Sus scrofa: one gene and its partners. The protein of the gene in region 4 interacts with the protein of the main gene of each other region in a pairwise test. Links are inferred from orthologs where the notes say so. Each region holds a gene or a part of one and is shown on either strand. Other genes may lie near its edges.

Region 1 (4,098 bases), on a different chromosome or scaffold from region 4:
TTATGCATTAGTCTTAGGACAAGGCTATGATGGCTAGAGCGTAGGACTGGGAAGCAAGAGACCTGAGTTAAGAGGTTTGGCTCTTCCACTAACTCGCTGTGTAACTTTATAACAAAGTCACTGAGGCAGCGGGAGACCTGGCTTATAGTCATCTTGGGTAATTGTATCTCTGGGCCTCAGTCTCCTTGTCTGTAAAATGGGAATTCCGTCCTGTTTGACAGGCTCGTAAGGAAGCGCTAAAGGAATAATACAAGTGTGAAGGGTAACTTTCCCTCAAAGCTCTTCACACTCACCATATGCAGATCCGGGGCTGGGGTAGCGGCGGCTGCGGGAGAGAAAGCGGATTGGGAAAGGCAGAGCTGCGTTGTTAGTCCTGGCCCGTGGTTCTTTGCCCTTGGTGAATCTCTGGTGGTCTAACAACGCGATACCTTGCCTTCTCATCTTAAAAACTGTGTACTAGCAATACCGGCGGGCTGGGCTTCGGCGATCCCTAAGTACTATTCATGAGCGTATTGACAAGCAGTTCAAGCCTGCCTCTTCACCAAGGCAGCCCGGGAAACAAACGGCCCCCTGCCTGGGAGCCCTTTTATAAACATTCATGAGCAGACCACTCTGACCTGTCCTCACCGGGAACAAGTTGGCTGCAGGATCTTCATTCGCATCCACTGAGGCCACGGTCCCTGACTCGGTCCGCACTCCTGTTCCCATCCTCTTGGCCGATTCATCCAACGAGCTGAGGTCCTTCTCATGGTCTTTCTCATGTTCTCGCCGCAGTTCGGAGTGCTGGTCCAGCTCCGACCGCCTTTTCAGTCGCCGGAATTGGCTGGATTTCCGGCGGATCATCTGGTCGCTCCTCTGTGTCGCGGGTCCCCACCGTCTTTATCCTGCCTCGGTTCTGGGACAGCCGATCTCGGGCGGCGACTGCCAAGGCCTGGCCCTTATCGACGCTTCAGCCAATCTACGCTGCAGAGAGGCCGGGTACAGCCAATCGGCTGGGGGCGTCCCTCCGTCTCAACGGTGACGGTTGCTAAGGAGGATCCAGTAGGAAGGGAGAAAGTGTACCGTGCTCGCCAAACTGTGAGAAGAGAATGCGCATGCATAATAAGATGCAAACCCCGCCCCGGTGCCCTCTCTTCGAAGTTGTTAATCTGAGGCAGGCGGCGTTATTAGGACTGCGGAGTGGAAGTGTGTTGTCAGTTACCATGGCAACTGCCTACCGGCCAATCACTGAGAGAAAGAGGAGGTGTTCAGAAAGAAACCAAACGGACGCAAGAGGAGGAACAAAGCACAACCAATAGAAACAGGAACTGGAGAAGATTTCGCCACATCCGGCGCTGCCTCTGGCGCCTGCGCTCTGTGCTGGGGGGCGGGGGTGCCCAGTGACGTCCGGTGAAGTCCAAGATGGCGGCGCTAGGCTGATCCTGCTGCTGGTGAGGGGCCCGGGGCCGGCGGGGCGGGGTCCGGCAGCTGTGTGCGGGGGTAGGCTCGTGGCTGCGGACCTCCGTCCCCTTCCCCAGCTCTACTCTCTGTCTTCTGCAGGTGACGGAAGTGCCGAGTCCGCCTGCCTGACGTCCTCGAGAGACCGGGGGCCGCTCCTCGCCGCCGCGGCCATGTCTGGGCCCGGCAACAAACGCGCCGCCGGCGATGGGGGCTCGGGGCCCCCAGAGAAGAAGCTGAACCGCGAGGAGAAGACAACAACAACGCTTATAGAGCCCATTCGTCTTGGGGGCATCTCTTCCACGGTTCGTGGGCTCCTGCCCCAGCCCGCCCAACTTCCCAGAACCGTTTTCCCAGTTCCCCAAGTTTAACCAGATCCACTTTACAGAGCATTCTGTTGAAGGAAACCTAGGACATGACGTCTGCCTTCCCCTCGCAGATAGGCAAACAGGTTCCCAGAGAGCGTGTGACAGACATGTCAGACTTCAGGTAGAAAGAGGCAGGAGCAGAACGTGACGCTCCTTACAAACAAGACGCTTCCTCCGTGGGTGTCTGAGCTTTGTATGTCCTGTTAGCAGTCTGCTCCCCTCTCACATCCGTTCTATCTGCTTTCCTTTGTCTCTTTCTCTGATTGGTTTCTTGGGCCCTTCTTGACCCTCTCTCTCCTCGGCCCCTCTGTTTCCTTGGTAGGAGGAGATGGACCTGAAGGTTCTGCAGTTCAAGAACAAGAAACTAGCAGAGCGATTGGAACAGAGACAGGCTTGTGAAGATGAACTCCGAGAACGAATTGAGAAACTGGAGAAGAGGCAGGCTACAGATGATGCCACACTCCTCATTGTCAATCGCTACTGGGCCCAGGTGAATGCCCCTCTCCTTTACAAGACTGGGCTTTGATCCAGCTGCCAGTTCTCAGACTTCTCTGTTAGAAAGGGAGTATCATGCTAGGAAGCACCTGAGGGATTCCTAACATTTTTGGTGCTTTCTCCTTTCAGCTGGATGAAACTGTGGAAGCCCTTCTCCGACACCATGAGAGCCAGGGGGAGCTGTCTTCAGGGCCAGAGGCGCCTGGGACCCAGGAAGGGCCAACGCGTGATGAGACCCCTCTCACAGAGCCAGGAACATCGGAGCTGAGGGGTAGGGCCAGAACCCTAGGATCTAGGAAGCTTAATTAAGTTCTGGGAAAGGTCCTGGAGAGGAAAGGATCTTGATAATCAGGCTGCTGAATTCCCTGCCTATACAAACACACACACACACAATTGATTTTATATTTGGGCAGCAAATCACAGTGGATAAGAACAGAGACTTTGGAATCTGAATGACTTGGTTAAGAGTACAATTCAGGTTTTATTTATTTATTTTTTTTGTCTTTTTGTCTTTTTGTTGTTGTTGTTGCTATTTCTTGGGCCACTCCCGCGGCATATGGAGGTTCCCAGGCTAGGGGTTGAATCGGAGCTGTAGCCACCGGCCTACGCCAGAGCCACAGCAACGCGGGATCCGAGCCGCATCTGCAACCTCCACCACAGCTCACGGCAACGCCGGATCGTTAACCCACTGAGCAAGGGCAGGGACCGAACCCGCAACCTCATGGTTCCTAGTCGGATTCGTTAACCACTGCGCCACGACGGGAACTCCCAATTCAGGTTTTAAAAGTATTACATGTATTTGTATTATGACTGTGTACTTGGCACTGGTGTAGATTTGGAGGAGACAAAGATAGTTAAAAAAAAAAAAATTACTGGGAGTTCCCTGGTGGCTCAGTGGGTTAAGGATTGGCACTGTCACTGTGTGGATGAGTTCGAATCCTGGCCTGGGAACTTTTGCATGCCGTGGGTGTGGCTGGGAAAAAAAAAAAAAGGAAAAGAAACACTGTCTTAGCTATTAGGGTGAAAGTGACTGTAAACCACACACACACATAAAAGCAGAAGGGCTCCTGAATGGGAATTGGTATGTGTGCACTAATTTATTTATTTATTTATTTATTTTTGTCTTTTGTCTTTTTTGTTGTTGTTGTTATTGTTGCTATTTCTTGGGCCGCTCCCACGGCATATGGAGGTTCCCAGGCTAGGGGTTGAATCGGAGCTGTAGCCACCAGCCTATGCCAGAGCCACAGCAACGCGGGATCCGAGCCGTGTCTGCAACCTACACCACAGCTCACGGCAATGCCGGATCATTAACCCACTGAGCAAGGGCAGGGACCGAACCCGCAACCTCATGGTTCCTAGTCGGATTCGTTAACCACTGTGCCACGACGGGAACTCCTTTTTTTGTGTGTGTGTATGTGTGCACTAATTTAGTTTGGGAAGGCAGAGAAGGCATTTCTGAGGAAATGTTTGGAAGCTCTCCGTCCTTGAGGAAATTACCTCCTGGAACCTCAGTCGTTGCCTTTTTTTTTTTTTTTTTTTTTTATTTTTTTATTTTTAGGGCCACACCCACGGCACATGGAGGTTTCCAGGCTAGGGGTCCAATTGGAGCTATAGCAACGCCAGATCCACGCGGCATCTGCGACCTACACCACAGCTCACGGCAATGCCGGATCCTTAGCCCACTGAGCGAGGCCAGGTATCAAACCCTCAACCTTATGGTTCCTATATGGTTCCTAGTTGGATTCATTTCCGCTGCGCCATGATGGGAACTCCAGTTGTTGCCTTTTTAAGATGGGAT
Region 2 (4,046 bases), on a different chromosome or scaffold from region 4:
ATTTCCATGTAAGGAGATGAAGGAAGATGTGCTTTCCTCACACAGAAAGGCCCAAGAAAAGAGAGGGAAGGCCACTAGCCAAACGGAGGCTTCGCAATGAAGTTGAAAAGATCATGGAGGAAGACTGTGAAAGTCAGGCTGAGGAAAACTACCCAATAAGTCAGTATTCCCTGCAAAAGGAATCCTTACATGATAGATTTAGGTGATAAAAGTGGAATAGGACATTAAACAACAGTGAATCATAAAGTGAGAAAGTCATTCTCTTTCAAGTCTCTTTCAAGCCTTCTAATAAAATACATGAGAAAGTCATGATTTGATGCTTTTCATCTCAAGCACCTCACGGACAACACCTGCTCAATCTCCAAATGAAGGTTTAAAGACTCCCTAGCAACGGTATCTAGCTATACCGTGTTAACACCGTTTCGTTTCTCCCAGCTTTAAGTTACAGTTAACTTACATTTATAGCAAATGAAAACTGGTTTTCATATATGGCGTAATAAAGTTTCCTTGTAAAATTATATTTAAACGAAAATAAATGAGGAAATTTAGAAGAAAAGTCAAGCAAAAAAGAGTAGAGGTAATGTGTGGATATGGCAAAAGTGGTGAAGTTAGAGAAATACTGTCATGGGTCTAAGACGAGCCCAGGATGGATTCTGAGTAAGAAAAAGACAAGACCAGGTTATGACTATGTGTAAAACCACTTCGACAGACCACTACCTCACGCGCAGAACTGCCCTTGCTCCCTCTCCAGGCCTCAGTGTCCATCCGAAAAGGGGCTGGGGGGCGACCTCTCAGACGCTGATTCTCGGGGCTCACTATCCTCTGCCTGAGCCACAGGCCCGTTGCCCGTGGCAACCACCGGGGTTCACGCAATGGCGCCCGCTATCCCGCTGGGGCTTGGCCTCCCGCTCCTCCCGGACTGCCCCACTCCTAACCTCTGTTCCACTTTATCTCTCCACGTCAATACGGCCCTCATAGCGGCTCGCTTCACACCTCCGGCCCCACCTCCCCACCTCGGCAACAGGCCTCAAGCCGCGAGCCACTTCGGCTACCTGCGCTACCCCTGGCAACGCACATGCGCAGTGAGCTACGCGCGAAGCCGAGCGTTCCGAGTGCGCATGTCTGAAAGAGAGGGCTTGAACAATGGAACCCGAGCCTTGAAGATGTCTGCACGACTAGGGCGCGCGCGATTGGTCACCCCTAAGGTGAGGGGGCGGTGCGTCTTTCTCGACAAAGGATTGGATTGGGTGAGCCGTGGAAATGGCGCCTGTGGACCAGGGGGCGGCCGCAAAGCAGCTGAGGCGTATGAAAGACATTCACTACCTTCATCTTTTGGTTCCAGCCTATCGCTCAGAGCTGGAGAAGTTTTCACATCTTACTCCGCTCCTCACTCAGAGCGACGCAGCCTCTCGGCCCGTTGCTACAGCTGGATCTCGCTTAGGGGGGCACGGCTAGGATGGAGAGTCCGAGCCCCGGGGACTGCGGAGCTGCACCTTTGATCACCGCCACTGAGCGCCTAGACTCAGACCGGCCCTGTGACCTCCGGCAAGTCATTGTCCCCTTTCGGGCCGCAGTTTCACCACCTGAAAAATGGGAGAGAGGGAGTAGGTGGGTGGGCCTTTCTCTCCTGGGGTCGGCGGAGACGTGGAGGCCCAGAGTTATTTCCAGCGAGCCGGGGCTGGGGATCAGGTGCTCTTCTGGAGGGGTCGGCTCCCGACCTCGTCCCCAGAAATGACATGGGAGCTGGGTGGAGCAGGAAGGTTTCCTAGTGCTGGGAGACGACTGCTTGGGTTGGAGGATCCTAGGAAGACTTTGGAGGAGATGTCATGTTAAGGAGCCAGGGGCGCCCCAGAAACCGGTCCAATGAGAGGTAAGGGAAAAAAACCACAGACACTTACTAAGTATTTGTGTATATGCGGTGTGGGGCTAAGATAATTTACCTACCCCCCCCAAAAAAAAACCTTTAATCCTCAGAATTACCTTAAAGGAAGTATTAGGTCTTTTTTTTTTTTTTAACAAATGGAGGAACAGACTTTGAGATGTTAAGTCACTTGATCTTGAATGCAGCTAGTAAATGGCAGAGCTGGGATTTGAACCTAGTCTGTTGATTTTAAAGTTTGTGCTGTTTTCACCAATATTCAGTTTCTTATCTCCAAAATTGTGAACCGTATGATTTCTTAAGATCCACTCACCCAGCTCCCCTAAATTATTTAATCCCACATCACATCAGAAGACCTTAATTCTAATTCTAGTTAGTAACTAGCTCTTACTTAATTTCCCTATTTGTAGAAAAGAGGTTGGTTAGACATCTCTGTAGACCCAGCCAACTTTTAGCATATGTGATTTAGTGATTAGGATACACTAACTAAAGTTTTTCAATGCTAGTACAAGGGAAGAAGTATTAGACCAAGATTTAGTAGACCTAGGTTCTGGAATCATTTCTGCAAGTAACTTAATCTTCCCTTCACTCACTTTTATCAGTAAAATGAGAGTAGTCCTTATTATTCCTACTTCACAGGGCTATTGGCTCAAGAATGAAAGAGAATTTGAAAATTCTGTATTAGAAATTGGTTACATATATATGCACATATATATACAAATTTTACATCACTTATTTGTGGCAGAGGAGGGTGTCTCACTGACTCCTTTAAGCTGTTCAGTTGATCCCTAGGTTAAGAGCTTAGCTATTGGTTCATATTTTTATTTTTTTGGTCTTTTTGCTATTTCTTTTGGGCCGCTCCCGCGGCATATGGAGGTTCCCAGGCTAGGGGTTGAATCAGAGCTGTAGCCGCCAGCCTACGCCAGAGCCACAGCAACGCAGGATCCAAGCCGCGTCTGCAACCTACACCACAGCTCACGGCAACGCCGGATGGTTAACCCACTGAGCAAGGGCAGGGACCGAACCCGCAACCTCATGGTTCCTAGTCGGATTCGTTAACCACTGCGCCACGACGGGAACTCCCTGGTTCATATTTTTAAACTTATGTCAGGTGTCACCAGAAATAACAGCGCTATTCAAGATTAACCAAAAAACTTTCTAACAAACAGCTCATGTTTTTCATTGTGTTGAGATTTCCAAGCCTTTTTAATCCATGTTGGAGACAAGAAGGTATTGGAGGGCAGAAAAATATTCTCGTAGCAGGACTGGTCCATACTGATTTTAATCTCTCATAGTCCAGAGAGTCCATGTGGTTGCTTCTCTGTCATGGACTGAAATTGAATAAGCAGAATCAAATGCATTTTACCTGAGCTAATCACTTGTACTTTGTTTTCTTTCAGGGAGGAAGATGTTGCTCTGGGATCAGAAAGAGTGGGAGAAGATGAGAAACAAATAGTGATAAAAAGCAGCAGTGAGTGTACTCCTCTGCTAGAGGAACCCTTGGCTTCTGCTGAGTTTGATGGCACTGCAGTGACAGAGTGCCACAAGTCTGTCCCATGCGGATGGGAAAGGCTTGTGAAGCAAAGGTTATCTGGGAAAACAGCAGGAAGATATGATGTCTATTTTATCAGGTGAGCATGCAAGGTGGTGAAGATGTATAGCCAAATAATTTTGTCTAGAAAGGTGGCAGGAAAGCATAGCAGAGTCTTGGCGTTTTTCTGTTTTTACCATAAAACCATGATGGATTTTGTTCCTTCACTGTCACTCATTAGTTATATCAAGTGACTTGGGGACAATTACATCCATTTTCTCCTACTGTACATGGTTAATGGTGAGGTTGCACTTGTTATATTTGTAAAAATGGTGAGGTTGTACTTAGGTTATATTTGTAAAATTATGTTATACTATCACAGAATAAACCATTTAAAAGTATCATTTTATCACTTTTTTATTTGAAATGACAAATGCCCATTTAAAATTTGGAAATTACTGGAGTTCCCATCGTGGCACAGTGGAAATGAATCCAATTAGGAACCATGAGGTTGCAGGTTTGATCCTTGACCTCACTCAGTAGGTTAAGGATCTGGCACTGCTGTGAGCTGCGGTAGTAGGACGCAGATGAGGCTTGGATCCTGCGTTGCTGTGGTGTGGCATAGGCTGACAGCTG
Region 3 (4,275 bases), about 2.2 Mb from region 4:
CTCTGCCCTCGCTCAGTGGGTTAAGGATCTAGCATTGCCGTGAGCTGCGGTATAGGTCACAGACACGGCTCAGACCCTGCCTTGCTGTGGCTGTGGTGTAGGCCGGCAGCTATAGCTCGGATTGGACCCCTAGCCTGAGAACTTCCATATGCCTTGGGTTTGGCCCAAAAAAGCAAAAAACAACCAAAAAAACAGTAATTGGATATAGTTCCCTGTGCTATACGATAGGATCTCATTGCTTATCCATTTTAAATGTAATCATTTGCATCTAACCCCAAATCCCCGTCCATCCCACTCCACCCCCCCCCACCGCAACCACAAGTCTGTTTTCCATGTCAGTGAGTCTGTTTCTTTTTTTAAAATTTTTTGTCTTTTTAGGGCCGCACCTGCGGCATACGGAAGTTCCCAGGCTAGGGGTCTAATCAGAGCTGCAACTGCCTGTCCTACACCATAGCCACAACGCCAGATCCAAGCTGCACCTGGAACCTACTCCACAGCCCAGGGCAACGCCAATCCTCAAACCACTAAGCAAGGCCAGGATGCTAGCTGGGCTCATTACCGCTGGGCCACAACAGGAACTTCCCTGTTTCTGTTCTGAAGATAGGCTCATTTGTGCCATATTTTGGATTCCACATATAAGTTACACGATATTTATCTTCCTCTTTCAGACTTACTTCACTTAGCATGAGAATCTCTAGCTGCATCTGATGGTTGTTTCTCTTCATTCTTCACTCGATTATATTCAGAACTGGGAGGTGTGTCCCCCACCTGACTGGAAAACAGAAGCCGTATCACTTGTGCAAGCTGGATTCCTGATTTTTTTTTTTTGCTATTTTGTGACTAGGTCAACAGGCCAAGAAATCATCATACGTTTCCTTAAAATTGTCTGTGCAATGAATGTTAAAGCAATATACTACCCTGTGCCAAGTTCTGCTCTAAACCTCTGAGACAGAGTAAGACCCTCAAGGAGCCTTCAGTCCGGTAAAAGTCGTGAAGACGAGTCCAGTGGGAACGCAGAATAATTCAGACCCGGCCTTTCCCACCCGGGGGTCTCGGTTTCGAGAAAGACACCCCGACACTTCTGACTGCAATAACGAAGAGCAGCCTCTGAGATGTCGGGGAGGGTCCGGCTGCGGTACTAAACGGGGTGGGGCCCTCTGCGTGAGACCGCGACTCCCATCATTACGCAGGACCTTCTCGTTCAGCGCGGGAAGATGGCTCTCAGATCTCTGAAAGCTGTAAACTCCACGCTGGAGAAAAACTTTAAAAGAGCGAGCACCGCAGCGCCCCAACTCCCAAGCCAGGGGCCGCTGGGAGCAGCGCCAGACTGAAGGGGGAGGGGAGAGAGGAGAGAGCGTGTGTGCGCGCGCGCGCGTGCGCGCGGGGGCGGGTGGGAGCAGACGGGCGCGAGACGGAGACGACGGGCCCGGAGGGAGAAGGGAGGGCGTGCGTGCGCGTGCGTGGGGCAGCAGAGGGGCGGAGCGCGGGCCTCAAGGGGAGAGGATGTATCAGGAAGAGCGTGCGTGCGCGCGCGGCCGCGTAGCGCGGATCGCGTCGCCCACCACTGACGTGCGCGCCCCCGCACCTAGTTCTACCCGCGGCCTGACCGTAAAGAGGGGCGGCCGTGTCGTGAAAGGGGCCGCAACACGCAGGGCGCTGGTTGACGGCTAGGACTCCATTTTGTCCTCCGCTTCTCAGCTCGTAAGTCGCTTGATTCCGTGGCTGCTCTGAGGCGAAAAGTTTAAACGGGGTAAAAGTTTGAGAGAATATTCTGGAAGTGTGTCGGTAAGCATAGCGAGTCTCCATTTTCTTTCTGCAGCCGACTCGGCTCCTGCGGTTCCGGAACAGCGGGAGGAGATGCGGCCCCTGGACATCGTCGAGCTGGCGGAGCCGGAGGAGGTGGAGGTGCTGGAGCCCGAGGAGGATTTCGAGCAGTTCCTGCTCCCGGTCATCAACGAGATGCGGGAGGACATCGCGGCGCTGACCCGCGAGCACGGGCGGGCGTACCTGCGCAACCGGAGCAAGCTGTGGGAGATGGACAATATGCTCATCCAGATCAAGACGCAGGTGGAGGCCTCGGAGGAGAGCGCGCTCAACCATCTTCAGAGCGCGGACGACGCGGTCGAGGGCAGGGGGACCAAGAGGTGCGAGAAGGCCGAGGAGAAGGCCAAGGAGATCGCGAAGATGGCAGAGATGCTGGTGGAGCTGGTCCGGCGGATAGAGAAGAGCGAGTCGTCCTGAAGCCGGGTCGGCGGTAAGGCGGGGGCCCGGGGCTGCCCCCCTCTTGGCTCGGCCTCGGGGCCGTGGATGGAACAGCGAGCCCCTCGGGGTGGGAGTTGGGAGGAGAGAGTGAAACATGCTGCGTGTTTACCTTAGGAGGTCTTAGGACAGACCGTTTGTGTGCTTTTTCAGTCTCAGGAAGCTAGAGGGAAAAAGTGGGCGGGTGGGTTGATTCGGTTTCGTCTGTGTGTGTTCGCAACGTAAGGTCACGGTCAGTAGGATCAACTCGAGGGGCATAAGCAAAAGTCCCAGAGAACGAGATCGTGGTAGGGCCCATTGAGCTGGGGTGGAGAGAAATAAATGTACGATTGCTGGAGGGAAGGCTGTTTCTGGACGGTTCCAGAATTCGCTGGAAGCCTGAAAAGAGTCAGATGGCATCCCGGAGAGGTGGTGCCCTGCGGGGCTGCAGGTGTGAGGGCGTTGGGTTGGGTTTTCTTGAAGGATTAACCTGTTAATGCTGAGTTTCTCCCGATTGCACTTCAGGTTTACAGCCAATGGATTCTGGTCCACTGATGGAGATTGGCTGACACCCTGGAGAAGCTGAAACCAGAGAGCCTTTTGTTTTCTCTTTTTTTCTCTGTCTACACTCTTGTCCTCGCTTACACTACGTTTCTGCTATGGTCTGTGGTTAATGACCTCAATATGAGTTTTTGATTGTTAAGTGTTTTTGTTTGGGGAGGTAACTTTTATTTGGAAAACGTTCTCACGAGCAAGAATTAGGGCCTAGATTGTAAGCTCTTGCAGCAGTCACGTTTGTTCCTGGGCTTTTGTTGTTTCTAAATTTTTGAGGTGCTTTGCTCTTTCTTGTGTGACCTGATAGCTTCCTGGAACTTTGGGTCTGTGTGTGACGGATGAGACTCAGAGCTGGAGTTCTCCAGCTCTGAAGGTGCTGAAGGAACTGCATGATATCTGGAAGACGACTCCATGCAGCAGTTTTAAAGAAGCTGAAGAGGGGACCAGACTTCTACTGGGAATGTGAATGGGGCTGATCTGGCTAGGACTGATGAATCAGAAGGGGTGGAGGATGGTATTGTTTGGGGACTTTAATTTCTGTGTGAGACCAAAGGAGGAGAGATGTATTTTGTTCAAAATGTAAGTTTTATGCGGCACACTGTGTGATGTAACCTGTCTGGTCAGTTTGTTTGGACAACCTTACTCAGCTTTACTCGACGTGGAACTGAGAATAGAACATGAGATAGGTCTTGGTGTTCTGTATAATTGATAGAATACCCTGATGCATTTTAAGGCATTCTGGGCATAAAATAAAAGCGATATTTGCAAAAGCCCTTGAAGGTCTGGGGAAGAAAAGCAAGGGCTGTCTGTTTTGGACCCTAAACTGGATAGGGACTAAGTACTTTCAACATCCATAAGTTGTCTAGCTATAAGTTCATTTCAGCAGCAGACCTGACAAGTATTTGAGGTCAAAACCCTACCATGTGTTTAAAAAGAAATTTACCATGTTAATAAAAGTATTCATTTGCTTGAAAAGACAAAAGACCTGAGAAATCATTGAGTTAAGAAATTTCGTTTCTTTAAGAAAAATTTCCTTCGTAGCGGTCATCTTTGCCAAATGGGGGGTGGATTTATTGGGGTTTTTAAGCCCCAAATTACGGAGGAGGTAATCATATCTCTGCGTGCTGCTATGGAGACTGGCGGAGGAAAAAGCATGGGGTTGGCCCTTGGTATTGAGGGGGTTGGTTCCAAAACCCTTCACCCCCTCCCCACAGATAACCAAGATCCAGGGATGCTCACATTCCTTAGGAAAAATTGTCGTACAGTCGGCTCTCCATGGCCATAGATTTTGCATCCTACAGAGCCTGCCTGCACTCTGATTTTCATCTCAGGATCTGCTTCCTGGGGCATCCAGCTGATAGCAAGCGTGAAACTGGAAAACCATGTGTCACAAGCTAGATACCGTATCTTAGAGGACTGAGGAGGAGAAAGAAAGCATTTCAGAGCAAGTAAGGTGAACCTGGCCTTGAGGGATGGACACAG
Region 4 (3,500 bases):
CCGCCGTCCTCGGCATGGTAAGCCGGAGGGTGCGGGCCTCTCGGGGCAGATGTGGGCAGTCGGCTGAGTGCGTGGCGCCAGTGCCTCCAGCTGGGCTCCTGGACCCCTGGTTCTGTCGTGTCCCTGTCCCCAAAGAGGCTGGGCTGCACGGGTGGTGGGGCATGTGGCCGACTCCTGCACAGTCAGCCCTTCCAGTTGTGCTGGGGGCCCCATGCTGCCCGGCTGGCAGATCCGCCCCTGTGGTGACCTTGTACCTGTGCCCCCCCCCCCAGATACTGAGGTCTGTTGTCTGTTCTGAGTGGGGCCGGGGTGGGGGGGGCGGCAGGCAGGCCTTCTTCTGAGCCCCTCCTCCTGAGTGTGCCTCTCTAGCTGATCAGAACTCATCCCTCTATGCCCGGCGGCCACGCAGCATCAACATGGAAAGTGCTGCCCGCCGGCCTGCCGTTTCTAGAGCAGGTTGGAAATAGCAGCTCTGCCTCTGGAGGAAAATAACTGGACTCCAAGTTGAGTGTCTTTCTGCGCTTTGCCACGTGGCATCAGCCGGTCGTTGTGCCTCTTCTCACTCACTTGTCCCCTGGGTTCCCTCTGCTAGAGTAGAGACTCGTCCACGGGACAGACCCAGGGTAGCTGCCGCGTGCCGGGCACTGGAACCACCGGTGAGGGGCGTCGCAGTGCCCCAGCCACTCTCTCGCCCCCGCCCCCCCTTCCTCCCCCAGCCCCACCCCTGTGCTGCTGGTCCTAAGAGCAGGGGCCTCTGGGGGGCTCCCCCCTGGCCTCACACACCCTCCTGTGCCCATGGAGGCCGAGGCCAGGGTGACCCGCTTGCTCCAGGTCACACAGGCTGTGGCAGACACGGGGTGTGAGCCGTGCCTGCGACCAGAGCTCGCCCCTCCGAGCCAGGGCCCAGAGCGGGTACCGTCCTGGGTGGCCTTCAGGCACAGAAACACGAGTCTCGGCTTTCTCTGCTCTTCCAAGGGCGGGCGCTCTGGCTGTGGGGAGGGAGGGAGAAACAGCCAGGCTCCAAGGGTCCCTTCGTCTCTGCAGGAGTCAGGCCTGGGCTCGTTTCCATGGTGATTGTCCTGTGCCCTGGCCCTGTCCCCAGCCCCGGGGGCAGATGCCGACTCGTCAGTGACTCCAGTGAGTGAGGTCTCTTAGGCAGAGGCTCAGGCGGGGTGACGTGGAGACCCCGGTCCCGCCGTGAACGCGGGGCCATTGCCCCGAGGATGCAGCCTGTGGCCCTGGCGGTTCAGAGCTTCTCCCAGTGTGTGAGAGCTGTGCCCTCCCTGGTGGCATTTGGAGGCCTTGGGTATGGGCAGCAGAGGAGGAGTCCTGCTGTGTCACCTGGGGGAGCTCAGGCTAGGATCCCTGGGAGGCCATAGGGCCACAGTCTCGGAGGCTTTTACAGGATGAGGCGAGGCCCTCAGCCAGCAGGGGTCCCCACCTGCGCACCGTGAAGGGGTTTCCTCCCTGGCATGGAGCCGATCCCACACGCAGCGCTTGGGGCTGGGTGCTCAGGTTTCGGCTTCCCTCCAGCTGTTTAGGAACTGAATGAAACAGTGTTTGGCACAAGTTAGTGTAGACCACAGTTGGGGCCACCGCAGGTGTCCAGCAGGAGGACACGCAGGGCTGGACACACACACTCGTCCTCAGGGCTGTGATCCACGGCAGCGAGAGGCTGCAAAGCGGAACCAGCGAAGGGACGGGGCCGAGGGGTGAGGTCCAGGGAAACCAGCTTCCAGAACCCTGTCCCGGGAGTGACACGGGCTGCGCCCAGTCCCCCAGCAACACCTTGTGGCAACATGCATGGCGTGCTGTCCCCGAGAAGCCCTTCAGAGACTCGGAGCCAGGGCTTATTGGGGGTGGCCCCGGGGACCCCTCTGCCGGGCACACAGCCCCCGGGGCCAGGTGTCAGCATGGACACACTCGTCACAACAGCTGAGGCGTCGGTGAGGGTGCTGGGGACCCTGACGGAGGACAGCAGCTGGGCCCGCCATGGGGCCCCATCTTGCACAGCGGCCCCTGCCCTCCCCTGGCCACTCCCGTGGCATCACTGCCTGTGCCCTAGGACAAGGCCGTGGCAGAGCCGGTGAGCCGGCTGCTGGAGAGCACGCTCAGGAGCAGCCACCTGCCCAGCAGGATCGGAGCCCTGCACGGCGCCCTCTACGTGCTGGAGTGCGACCTCCTGGACGACACGGCCAAGCAGCTCATCCCGGCCATCAGCGACTATCTCCTCTCCAACCTCCGAGGCGTGGCCCAGTGAGTGGGGGCCACCTGAGGCCGTCTAGCAGGGCCGCGAAAGGAGCGACCGCGCGCAGGCGGGGTAGCAGGAAGCCAGCTGGCACCCTCCTCCCAGGGACGGTGGCTGTGGTCACTGAGACGGCGGACAGCACGTGCCGTCGGGCGGGAGGGGCTGCCGCGTGGCTGAGCTCGCCCTGTCTCCTTCCAGCTGTGTGAACGTGCACAGCCAGCAGCACGTGCTGGTGATGTGCGCCACGGCCTTCTACCTGATCGAGAACTACCCTCTGGACGTCGGGCCCGAGTTCTCTGCGTCCGTCATACAGGTGGGCGGGCCTGGGCCTCCTCCACGCGCAGCGGCTCCGAGCCCTGAGCGCGGGGCGGGGCCTCTGAGGCGGGAGGCCTGCGGTGCCTCTGACCTGGAAGTGCTCCTGTGCAGATGTGTGGCGTGATGCTGTCCGGCAGCGAGGAGTCCACCCCGTCCATCGTCTACCACTGCGTCCTGAGGGGCCTGGAGCGCCTCCTGCTCTCCGAGCAGCTCTCCCGGCTGGACGCGGAGTCCCTGGTCAAGCTGAGCGTGGACAGAGTGAACGCGCACAGCCCGCACCGCGCCATGGCGGCCCTGGGCCTGATGCTCACCTGCATGTACACGGGTGAGCGGGGGCCCACTGGCGCCCGGCAGGCCAGCGCTGCACATCCCAGACGCTCGGGAGGCAGCCCGCAGGCTCCTGTGGTTCTCCAGGTCGCAGAGCTGGGCGGGCGTCAGCGCCTCACGGGGAGCGGGCTGCAGGCTGACCAGTGGGCCCTGTGTGACTGGGCCAGGCCCTGGGCTGCTTGCTGGGGGCCCCCATCACCTGGTTTCAGACCATCTCTGGGGGTTCAGGAGACCGTGCGTGAGTTCCAGGCCCTGTTGACGGAGCCTCTCTGGTTTGGCTGTCAGTAGAACCGAACGGCTTGGTTTTGTTTCAGGAAAGGAGAAGATCAGCCCAGGCAGAAGCTCCGACCCCAGCCCTGCCGCCCCCGACAGCGAGTCTGTGATTGTGGCCATGGAGCGTGTGTCTGTTCTCTTCGACAGGTAGGAAAGCGCCTGGCCTGGCTGGGAGCTCCGGCCAGGAGCCACTGCACACACACACGCCCGCTGCGCTCAGGCCCGCCTGCTTCCTCCTGCGCCGCGCTGCCCTGGGGGTCTGCGCTGGGGGCGGGCCTAGCTTCTTGCCACCTGGGTCGGAGTTGACTGGCTCCAAGGCCGTGCCAAGCGCTTGCCT
Region 5 (3,933 bases), on a different chromosome or scaffold from region 4:
GGCAACGTAGCCAGACCAGCTCCATCCCGCAGAAGCCCCAGACCAACAAGTCTGCCTACAACAGCTACAGCTGGGGGGCCAACTGAGGCCCTGACCCTCTTCTCCCGGTCCCATCTTCTGAGAGGGCTTCTCAGCCTGGCAACTATGGAAACAGCATCAAAGAGAGAAAGGAATGTGGGGGGGTTCCGCTGCCCCCCACACCCAGCGGCCCACCCCATGCCTCAGCTTCATGTCTGTCCCATTCCCATACCATCCCCACTCTGTTGTATGTATTATAGGATTTGTATTTTCTTCTTTTTTTTTTTTTTCCTTTCCTCTCCTCCTCCCCTCTTGCATTCAAGATTATGAAACTTTGCTGTGGGCCCTGCCCTTCCTTCTCCTCCTCCTGTTCACCCTGGTGGTGTGGGTGAGGTGGGGAGGGGGGACCCCCAAATATATATCAGCCCAACAGCCCTAAGTCTCCTCCTTTATTATTAGGAAACAAAACAACAACAACAAAAAATGGTGTCATGAACATGAACAGCATTGTCAGATGAATTAGTTGAAGTGTTTTTTTTTTTTTTTTTTTTTGTACTGTGTCTTCAAATTTAATGGATTAATGTGTCTTGTATATATAAAAAGAAAACCTCTACCTTCAGCCTCTGCCCATTCTTGCTCCGTCTAGGATATCCTCAGTCTCGTCGATGACCAGCTTGGTGAATAAGTATTACTGTACCAACTGGGCCTTCTCTAGCAGGCCCCGAAGGCAGTGGAATAAAATGAAATCTTCGCCCTTTAAGAACTCCGACCTTAATGTGCTAGTATCTTGCCCCTGAGGGGGTTCCCTTCCGTTCTCCCCTAAGAATTTCACGGCGTGGCCTGGAAAGAATCACTGCAAATCTTCATTTTCTCCAGATCTACAGCAGATTTTAGGCGGTGAAGGGAGTGGAATGGATAGCAGATACTGGGTGGAACGGAAGAGGATTAAATGAAAACTGAAAGAAATGGCTTTGCAGAATCAGTTTAATTAAGATGGGTCCAGGCAAATGAACTGGAAAGAAATGAGGGCAACATGCACTGTTGTTGGCCAGCAAATCTGAAGCAGTAGTTCTTGACGCTTGAGTGCTTTCATTTCACATAACTAATACCCAGCCCCTGAAAAGAAGTCTAGAGTCAGGCCAGGGTTAGGATGGGGGTGGGGTACAGGGAGGCAGAGGCTTTGAAAGTCAAATGATAGGAAAAAGATACTAAAAGCCCCCAATTTTTCCCTCCCAAGAGTTCCCTTGCTCTCTTATGAAGTCTTTAACCTGCTGGTTGCAGAGCTTGCCTGGAAGAATTAGAGGAATTCTTAACAGCTGGAGAGAGAAGTCCTTGCGTTCCCTGAGTCTTTTTCTTTTACTCAACTCTGGGGAAGTCACTACATTAGAAGGAGCTTGATGCAACGTTTTGTCCATCCCTCTGGTATCAGACTTAATTGGCTCAGTCAGGAAACAAAACCGAGGCGGGTCCAGGAGGAGTCCATGGGTGTAGTGAGCCGGCGGTGAGGGAGGGCCTTGGTCCAGTTCATTTGTGCGGATGGGCTGCCCTCTGGCGGCTGCCTCCGGTGCCATCCGGCGGCGTGAAACCCTTGAGACACCCTGTCGGACCGACCGCATTGGTCGGCAGAAGGAATTGGCTTAGGAGTCAGGTGACTGTTGGAAAACGAAAATTAAGTACACCCACTCCCTTCACAGGGAACAGGTGGGGTAAAAGAAAAAACCTTTCGAATTCGATAGGCCTGCCCCGCCCTCAACCACGCCCCGCTTACGGTCGTTTTACGACAGTGTCCGACCGATCGCAGGCTTGCTTTCAGGCAGCGTGGTCTGACGCTTCGCTCAATTTCCGACGGCGTAGCTTTGGTTTCTCCCCCCGGCTTTGGGGTTCGAAGGTTCGAGTCCCACGACGGGAATGAGCCTCTTTGATCTCTTTCGGGGATTTTTCGGCTTTTCTAGACCTCGGAGGTGAGAATGGGTCCGGGTCAGATAAGGGAGGGGGATCCGCTGAGGGAAGCTTGACCCCTGACACACTGTTTTTGGAAAAACATCCTTTTCCCCACTCATGCAACTCCTGCGGAGAGGGCAGAAGTCACAACATTGAGCACACACCCCGCGGCAGTAACCAAGGCAGTCGTTAAGAGGAGAAACAGGCGCTTAAACGTTTCTCCGTTCTGGGGTGATGCAGCAGGGGCCCAAGTGTGGGGAAGACAATGCAGCTCTGGGGAAGGGGTCAGTGAGCGAGCGGGACCTTGGGAGAGAGGGGAGGGGTTGGGGAACGCTGAAGAAAAGCTGAGGGGAAATGTTTGGGGGAGCCGCGAGGCGAGGACTGGCTTTGATAAAAACAAAACAGACACGATGGCCAGTTCTCTAACGCTCGCTTCAGCTTTCCAGTTTCCTACTCTTGTCCACCATTAGCTGGTTTTATAGATTAAGTAGTGCCGAAATCTTGGTGGCCAATCTGCATCCATCCCCAGCCACAGAGATCCCTTTTTTGGAGGGATGACTCGCGACGAAGATGAAGATGATGAAGAGGAAGAAGCCACATGGAGCCAGGGGAGCTCGAGGTTTGAAGGTCCCCAGCCTCCCGAGGAATTTGGCTTTGGCTTCAGCTTCAGCCCAGGAGGAGGAATGCGTTTCCACGATAATTTTGGCTTCGATGACTTAGTACGGGATTTCAATAGTATCTTCAGCGAGATGGGGGCCTGGACCTTGCCTTCCCGTCCTCCTGGTGTGTGGATGTCCCTGGGGGAGAACCTGTGGTTTCTGATGGGTCGATGGGTGAAAAAAAGGAGCCTACAGAGAGTAGTTGGGGGGTGGGAAGAGAGAAAATGGATGATTTCAAGATTTAAAAGAGCCCAAGATCTTTCCCTCCCACCTCCAGCATCCACCTGCCACCTTTCTGCAGAACTTCCAGGTCCTGAGATAGAGACACCTGGTGAGAGACGGCAGGAAGGACAGACACTTCGGGACTCAATGCTTAAGTATCCAGATAGTCACCAGCCCAGGATCTTTGGTGGGGGCCTGGAGAGTGATGCAAAAACTGAATCCCCCAAACCAGTACCAGACTGGGATTCCCAGAGACCTTTTCATAGGGTGAGTACATCTGGGCCTGCAGTGAGAGCCTGTGGAACAAAACTGCAAAGACTGGAATCCTTATTGGAATCTGACAGATTTGGGTTGGAATCCTAGACTCTCCACATAAGAGTATTTATCTGTTTTCTATATTAAGCTTTTTGTAGGATTTTCTTGGGGGGGGGTGAGAGGAATGGAAGTTCTTTTTGTTTAAAAATATATATATTGGTTGAAATGATTCTTGGACAAGGCAGAATTATAGAGGTAGGCTAAAGTATCAGTACAGGGATGGTTTTTGGTAAAGAGTTACATAGAACAGCTAGGAAGGAGGGAGGGGCGAGTAAATTAAACTATTCTGATTGGGATTATTTCTCCTGAGCACAATAGTTTTGGAACTTGGCAAAACTTTGGGTTCTGTTACCCCCCCCCCCCCCGCCCCGCAAGTTTCAGATTTATGGTGCCATTTGACCTACTTTGGCTTCTTCTAGTTTGATGATATGTGGCCTGTGACCCCCAGTTCTAGAGCCAGAGAGGATAATGGTGAGTCTGGAGGGAGAGGACATTTACCAGCCCTTTGTTCCCCCTCCCTGAAATTTCTTCCTGCCACACTTGTCCTCTTTCCCTTGGACTCTTTTTATTTTTTCCTGTTTCCTCTCTTGTCCTTCTAGATCTTGATTCCCAGGTTTCCCAGGAGGGCCTTGGCCCAGTTCTGCAACCCCAGCCCAAATCCTATTTCAAGAGCATCTCTGTGACCAAGATCACTAAGCCAGATGGGGTGAGTTGGGAGAGAGGAGTAAAGGGAACTGTGGTCAAGAATATTCTGGAAATGGGGATCTATGTAAAGAAA
Region 6 (2,541 bases), on a different chromosome or scaffold from region 4:
CCACGCCAGATGCTTTACCCACTGAGTGAGGCCAGGGACTGAACCCAAAACCTCATGGTTCCTGGTGGGATTCGTTTCCGCTGCGCCACAATGGGAACTCCTTTTTTTTTTTTTTCCCCAAGATTTTTTTTCAGAGTTCCCGTCATAGCTCAGCAGTTAACGAGCCTGACTCCTATCCATGCAGTTGCAGGTTCGATCCCGGGCCTCACTCATTGGGTGAAGGATCCGGTGTGGCTGTGGCTGTGGTGTAGGCCGAAGGCTGCAGCTCCAGTGCGATCCCTAGCCTAGGAACCTCCGTATGCTGCGGGTGTGGCCATAAACAAACAAACAAGTGTATTGTTTCATTTATAGTTGATTTACAACCTGCCGCTCCCTTCTAAAGCCTCCCTTTGGACACTCTGGAGGGCATTCTGGCACTGGGCGAGCAGTGGGGGGCCCTGCAAGGTGATGGCCCCTCCTGCCCTGCCTGTGGTCGGCAGCACGGGGCGCCCAGTACCTGGGTAGGGCATCTCGCCCCTGCTGAACACCTCGTGCAGGAGGACCCCGAAGGACCAGACGTCCGACTTGATGGAGTAGTGCCCGCGGGAGAGCGCCTCGGGCGCCGTCCACTTGTAGGGGATGCGGTGGTCGTGGGAGAGGTAGATGTCGTCCTGCAGTGAGACACGTGCAGCGAGGACAAGCTCGAGGAGCCGGGCGCAGACACGCAGACACGGCTTCCGTGCTGCCACGCCTGGAGCCTGAGCTGGGGCGGGCCCGCCCAGGTGCCCACAGGCCATCCCCCCGCCGGCGGGGGGCGGACTGCAGAGAACCCAGCAGAGAGCCTGCCAGGACGAAGGACAGAGTTTCTCCAAAAGTTGTTTGCGGGGGGAGACCCCCAGGGAGGAAGCAGTGGTCCAGCAGCCACGCGGGGGGACACGGGGTCTGCTTGAGGAGCAAAGTGCAAGGACAGAACCTCGGCTCTGGGCGCAGGACCTGAGGGAGTTTCTCAGCGTGTTCCTGGGAGTCCTGGAGGTGCTGCTGGGCACCTGCCGGCAGGCTGGTGGCCGGGGCGAGGAAGGCTGGTCCTGCCCTCTCTGCCGCCCGCCCCTCAGCAGCTCTTCCCTTCTCCCCAGCCTCCGGCGTGAGCTGGCCCCACGGGGCCGCGCTTTCCTCCTGCTGTTCCTGGACGCGTCCAAGTGCTTCCACCGGCCCCGTCTGGCTCATCCCGGGTGCCACAGACCCGTGTCTCGCCTGGGCATCTCGCCCGACAGAGTCGTGGTTGCCTCAGCTTCCTGTTGCCCCGCCAGCTCCCTGCACCCCCCCTGCCCCCGCCCCGCGCCTGCCCCACCTTGACGAGCCTGGCCAGCCCGAAGTCCCCCACTTTGCAGATGGTGTTCTCCCCCACGAGGATGTTCCTGGCAGCCAGGTCCCGGTGGATGTAATTCTGGGATTCCAGGTAGCACATGCCCTCAGCCACCTGGGCCGCGATGTCCACCAGCTCCGAGACCGGCAGGGCCTGCTCATCAGAGTCTGCAGAGGCAATGGGAGGCCAGGGTGACGGGGCCAGCCAGGGCCGAGTCCTCGGTGCAGACGCCTGCCCTCGGGAGGGGCGGGGGCAAAGGGCAGCGAGCCCGGTTTAAAGTTGGGACTGTGGGAGTTCCGGTTGTGGCTCAGCAGAAATGAATCTGACTAGCATCCATGAGGATGCAGGTTCGATCCCTGGCCTCGCTCAGTGGGTTAAGGATCCAGTGTTGCCGGGAGCTGTGGTGTAGGCCACAGACACAGCTCGAATCCTGAGTTGCTGTGGCCGTGGTGTAGGCGGGCAGCTACAGCTCCGATTCAACCCCTAGCCTGGGAACTGCCATGTGCTGCAGGTGCGGCCCTTCGGGAAGGTAGTCAGGTATCAGAGCTAAACCGTCCAAACGCGCCCTCTGGAATTTCCTTCTGGGAAGCCACACTAAAGCAAAGGAACTCAAAGATGGCCATCTCAGCACCGTCTACAGGACCAAAAACATCAAAAAGTTCCAGCAACAGGCGTTCCCGTCATGGCGCAGAGAAGACGAACCTGACTCGTACCCATGAGGTTGCAGGTTCGATCCCTGGCCTCACAGACGCAGTTCGGATCCCACGTTGCTGTGGCTGTGGTGTAGGCCAGCAGCTACAGCTTCGAGTCAACCCCTGGCCTGGGAACCTCCATATGCTGTGGGTGTGGCCTTGAAAAGGCAAAAAAAAAAAAGTTCCAACAACAAGTGCTTGAGTGCACTTGGCGGTGTCAGAATTTTGTTTCTAGGGAGTATTTGATGGTGTGGCAGCAGCTTGCAGCGATCACGTGGAAAGCACTCCAGACATGGACGTGTTAAAACACACGCCCAGGCACACACATGCGTACCGGAGGCCACTTAGCCTTGAGCACAGACACTTGCCATTTTGGCATCTCTGAAACCGGGCGCACCGTGGCCACTCACCCTGCAGCAGCTCCAGCAGGTTCCCCTTGGGCATGAGTTCTGTGATGATGTACACGGGGTCCCCCAGGGACGCCACGGCGTACAGTGGCAGGATGTG
Region 7 (3,447 bases), on a different chromosome or scaffold from region 4:
GGAGGAGAAAAACCGGGCGCGCGAGAAAGTCACCGAGAAGGAGGTGGTGAAACTGCAGAACGACCCCCAGCTGGAGGCAGAGTTCCGGCAGCTTCAGGAGGACCAGCGGCGGGAGCGCCAGCTCAGGGAGAAGCAGGAGGAGGAGCTGAGCTTCCTGCAGGACAAGCTGAAGAGGCTGGAGAAGGAGCGGGCCATGGCCGAGGGCAGGATCACCGTCAAGGAGGTGCTCAAGGTGGAAAAGGATGTGGCGACCGAGAGGGAGGTGGGCGACCTCCAACGCCAGGTCGAGGATGAGGCTGCCAAGGCTCGCACCAACCAGAGGGAGAAGACGGAGCTGCTCCGGAAGATCTGGGCCCTGGAGGAGGAAAACGCCAAAGTGGTCGTGCAGGAGAAAGTGCGAGAGATCGTCCGGCCGGACCCCAAGGTGGAGAGTGAGGTGGCCAACCTCCGCCTGGAGCTGGTGGAGCAGGAGCGCAAGTACCGGGGGGCTGAGGAGCAGCTGAAGAGCTACCAGAGCGAGCTGGAGGCGCTCCGGAGCCGGGGCCCCCAGGTGGAAGTCAAGGAAGTCACGAAGGAGGTCATCAAGTACAAGACGGATCCTGAGATGGAGAAGGAGCTGCAGAGGCTCCGGGAGGAGATCGTCGACAAGACCAGGCTCATCGAAAGGTGTGACCTGGAGATCTACCAGCTGAAGCAGGAGATCCAGGCCCTGAAAGAGGCCAAACCCCAGGTGCAGACCAAGGAGGTGGTCCAGGAGATCCTGCAGTTCCAGGAGGACCCCCAAACCAAAGAGGAAGTGGAGTCTCTGAGGGCCAGGCTGGCAGAAGAACAGAAGAAGCAAGTGGATCTGGAGAGGGAGAGGGCGTCCCAGGAGGAGAAAATCCAGCAGAAGGAGGAGGAGCTCTCCCGGGTGAAGGAGAAGGTGGTGCAGCAGGAGGTCGTCAGGTACGAGGAGGAGCCAGGGCTGCGGGCCGAGGTGAGCGCCTTCACCGAGAGCATCGACGCGGAGCTGCGGCAGATCGATGGCCTCCGCGGGGAGCTGCGGCGGCTGCAGCGCAGGCGGGCCGAGCTGGAGCGCCAGCTGGAGGAGCTGGAGCGCGAGAGGCAGGCACGCAGGGAGGCCGAGCTGGAGGTGCAGCGCCTGAAGCAGCGGCTGGCCCAGCTGGAGGAGGAGGAGGGGGAGGCCCGGGAGAAGGTGACCCTCAAGCAAAAGGTGGTGCTGCAGCAGGACCCCCAGCAGGCCCGGGAGCACGCCCTGCTCACACTGCAGCTGGAGGAGGAGCGACACCGGCGGCAGGTCCTGGAGAGCGAGCTGGAGACGCTGAGGAGGAAGCTGGAGCACCTGGAGAAGCTGGAGGTCCGGGAGAAGGTGGTCTTCTCTGAGAGCGTCCAGGTGGACAGAGGCAACACCGAGCAGGAGATTCAGAAGCTCAAGAGCAGCCTGGAGGAGGAGAGCCGGAGCAAGAGGGAGCTGGACGCTGAGGTGAGCCGGCTGGAGGCCAAGCTCTCGGAGCTGGAGTTCTGCAACTCCAAGTCGTCCAAGGAGCTGGACTTCCTGAGGGAGGAGAACCACAGACTGCAGCTGGAGCGGCAGAACCTGCAGCTCGAGGCCCGCAGGCTCCAGGCGGAGATTGAGATGGCTGCGGCGGAGACGCGGGACCTGAGGAGTGTGCCGGTGGCAGACCCTGGCGCTCCGCTCGACTCCAGGCTGTGGTCCCTGGAGCGGGAGCTGGACGAGCTCAAGAGGCTCTCCAGAGACAAGGACCTGGAGATCGACGAGCTGCAGAGGCGCCTGGGCTCCGTGGCCGTCAAGCGGGAGCAGAGGGAGAACCACCTGCGGCGCTCCATCGTGGTCATCGACCCCGACTCCGGCCGCGAGCTGTCTCCAGAGGAAGCCCACCGGGCCGGCCTCATCGACTGGAACATGTTCGTGAAACTCAGGAGCCAGGAGTGCGACTGGGAGGAAATCTCCGTCAAGGGTCCCAACGGGGAGTCCTCCGTGATCCACGACAGGAAGTCAGGCAAGAAGTTCTCCATCGAAGAGGCCCTGCAGAGCGGAAGGCTGACCCCTGCCCAGTACGACCGCTACGTCAACAAGGATATGTCCATCCAGGAGCTGGCCGTCCTGGTGTCCGGGCAGAAGTAGGCTCGGCCCTGCCCTCCCCTTCCTGGAAGCTGACGCTGGCTCTCTCCCACCCAGGAAGCTCCCCGGTGTCTTCTGCCTGGCCACGTGCAGAGCCCCGTGAGAGGGTCCAGCGCAGCCGCCAGGCTGCTCAGAGCACTCCTCACCCACAGCGGGATGGGCACCGGCCGAACCTCCATCCAGCCTGGTGAGTGACCCGCTTCGTCCCTGACTCAAACCCACAGCGCCTGCTTCTTTCTCCCTTTCCCACTCACTCCCGTCAACAGACTCCTCGTGTGATACCTAGAAGCCACCGAAAACCAGCAAAACACTCGACGACCGGGGCAGACAAGCCTGCTCCGTGCAGCACCGGCCTGCACACCCCAGCTGGGGCCTCCCTTCAGCAAAGCACCAGGCCCCCAGGGCTGCGATCTGCACGCACACCCCTTGCGGATTCTGGCTCAGCTGACTTGCCATCAGAGGCCTCCCTGTGAGACAGCAAAGGCACAAAGAAGCCAGAACAGCCTCTGGCCCAGGTGCTCAAGCAACGCTTAACTGTCAAGCCAGACTGTCCCAAGAAAATGCATCAGAGAACGTCTCATGGTTCTGAAATGAAAGTACTTTCCTCGTGGACTGTGTTGCTGGTAGCCTTAGATTCAGTGCTTAACGCCTGCTCCTTATCTCACTGCCATATAGTAAGACTCCGCAGTTGATTTTTCACCAAACTAATTTCAGGTTCTCTGTATCTCATGTATTAAGAAAATGGGAATTACTAGGGAACTCTGTTCAAAGCATGAAAATAAACACATGGTGGCTTGATTCTAACTTCATGGTGTGTTTCTTCCTCTTTTTGCATCTAAGGCTTATTCCCCAACCCCCTCTTGGCTTTCAACTGAAATGAATGTTCCCTACATATCAGCTGCTACGGAAGAAAGAATTATTTGCAAACACGATTAACAGAAGTGAATGAAAAAAGAGTTCCTGTTGTGGCTAGTGGTAACAAACACTACTAGTATCCATAAGGTTGTGCGTTTGATCCCTGGCCTTGCTCAGTGGGTTAAGGATCCAGCATCGCCGTGAGCGCCAGTGTGCAGGTCGCAGAAGTGCCTTTGATCCCATGTTGCTGTGGCATAGGCTGGCAGCTGCAGCTCCAACTGGACCCCTAGCCTGGGAACTTCCATTTACAGCAGGGTAGGCCCTAAAAAAGAAACAAAAAAAGAAAAAAAAAAGAAAAAAGTGAATGAGAAAGGATGTTTTGGAAATCTTGAAACAATTTATTGAGTTGCTTTATACAAGATTAACAATTTCCACACCCCACCCCCCAA

The links.
Region 1: the proteins of HTT (region 4) and RNF40 interact in binary tests that used the Homo sapiens proteins (3 or more experiments, as listed by UniProt). The link is inferred for Sus scrofa from reciprocal best matches to the Homo sapiens genes HTT and RNF40.
Region 2: the proteins of HTT (region 4) and MBD4 interact in binary tests that used the Homo sapiens proteins (3 or more experiments, as listed by UniProt). The link is inferred for Sus scrofa from reciprocal best matches to the Homo sapiens genes HTT and MBD4.
Region 3: the proteins of HTT (region 4) and MORF4 family-associated protein 1 interact in binary tests that used the Homo sapiens proteins (3 or more experiments, as listed by UniProt). The link is inferred for Sus scrofa from reciprocal best matches to the Homo sapiens genes HTT and MRFAP1.
Region 5: the proteins of HTT (region 4) and HAX1 interact in binary tests that used the Homo sapiens proteins (3 or more experiments, as listed by UniProt). The link is inferred for Sus scrofa from reciprocal best matches to the Homo sapiens genes HTT and HAX1.
Region 6: the proteins of HTT (region 4) and PTK6 interact in binary tests that used the Homo sapiens proteins (3 or more experiments, as listed by UniProt). The link is inferred for Sus scrofa from reciprocal best matches to the Homo sapiens genes HTT and PTK6.
Region 7: the proteins of HTT (region 4) and PPL interact in binary tests that used the Homo sapiens proteins (3 or more experiments, as listed by UniProt). The link is inferred for Sus scrofa from reciprocal best matches to the Homo sapiens genes HTT and PPL.

Annotation. Positions count from the first base shown.
Region 1 is NC_010445.4:17,633,191-17,637,288, reverse strand, and holds the start of RNF40 (E3 ubiquitin-protein ligase BRE1B), read left to right. Parts: upstream 1-1,298; 5' UTR 1,299-1,430; intron 1,431-1,539; 5' UTR 1,540-1,610; coding exon 1,611-1,742; intron 1,743-2,127; coding exon 2,128-2,295; intron 2,296-2,429; coding exon 2,430-2,571; intron 2,572-4,098. Other genes in the region: CCDC189 (coiled-coil domain-containing protein 189), read right to left, coding at 294-325, 628-843.
Region 2 is NC_010455.5:68,825,760-68,829,805, reverse strand, and holds the start of MBD4 (methyl-CpG-binding domain protein 4), read left to right. Parts: upstream 1-1,246; 5' UTR 1,247-1,456; coding exon 1,457-1,608; exon of another isoform or gene 1,609-1,826; coding exon of another isoform or gene 1,827-1,870; intron 1,871-3,279; coding exon 3,280-3,510; intron 3,511-4,046. UniProt on the Homo sapiens protein: Mismatch-specific DNA N-glycosylase involved in DNA repair. Has thymine glycosylase activity and is specific for G:T mismatches within methylated and unmethylated CpG sites. Can also remove uracil or 5-fluorouracil in G:U mismatches. Has no lyase activity.
Region 3 is NC_010450.4:4,120,284-4,124,558, reverse strand, and holds MORF4 family-associated protein 1, read left to right. Parts: upstream 1-1,479; 5' UTR 1,480-1,701; exon of another isoform or gene 1,702-1,819; 5' UTR 1,820-1,857; coding exon 1,858-2,241; 3' UTR 2,242-2,254; intron 2,255-2,763; 3' UTR 2,764-3,775; downstream 3,776-4,275.
Region 4 is NC_010450.4:1,924,768-1,928,267, forward strand, and holds part of HTT (huntingtin), read left to right. Parts: coding exon 1-17; intron 18-2,065; coding exon 2,066-2,256; intron 2,257-2,446; coding exon 2,447-2,561; intron 2,562-2,674; coding exon 2,675-2,888; intron 2,889-3,204; coding exon 3,205-3,310; intron 3,311-3,500.
Region 5 is NC_010446.5:95,468,173-95,472,105, reverse strand, and holds the start of HAX1 (HCLS1-associated protein X-1), read left to right. Parts: upstream 1-1,133; 5' UTR 1,134-1,926; coding exon 1,927-1,979; intron 1,980-2,488; coding exon 2,489-3,107; intron 3,108-3,574; coding exon 3,575-3,626; intron 3,627-3,754; coding exon 3,755-3,861; intron 3,862-3,933. Other genes in the region: UBAP2L (ubiquitin-associated protein 2-like), read left to right, coding at 1-86. UniProt on the Homo sapiens protein: Recruits the Arp2/3 complex to the cell cortex and regulates reorganization of the cortical actin cytoskeleton via its interaction with KCNC3 and the Arp2/3 complex. Slows down the rate of inactivation of KCNC3 channels. Promotes GNA13-mediated cell migration.
Region 6 is NC_010459.5:62,540,895-62,543,435, forward strand, and holds part of PTK6 (protein-tyrosine kinase 6), read right to left. Parts: coding exon 2,445-2,541; intron 1,510-2,444; coding exon 1,328-1,509; intron 651-1,327; coding exon 497-650; intron 1-496. UniProt on the Homo sapiens protein: Non-receptor tyrosine-protein kinase implicated in the regulation of a variety of signaling pathways that control the differentiation and maintenance of normal epithelia, as well as tumor growth.
Region 7 is NC_010445.4:37,508,933-37,512,379, forward strand, and holds the end of PPL (periplakin), read left to right. Parts: coding exon 1-2,146; 3' UTR 2,147-2,947; downstream 2,948-3,447. UniProt on the Homo sapiens protein: Component of the cornified envelope of keratinocytes. May link the cornified envelope to desmosomes and intermediate filaments. May act as a localization signal in PKB/AKT-mediated signaling.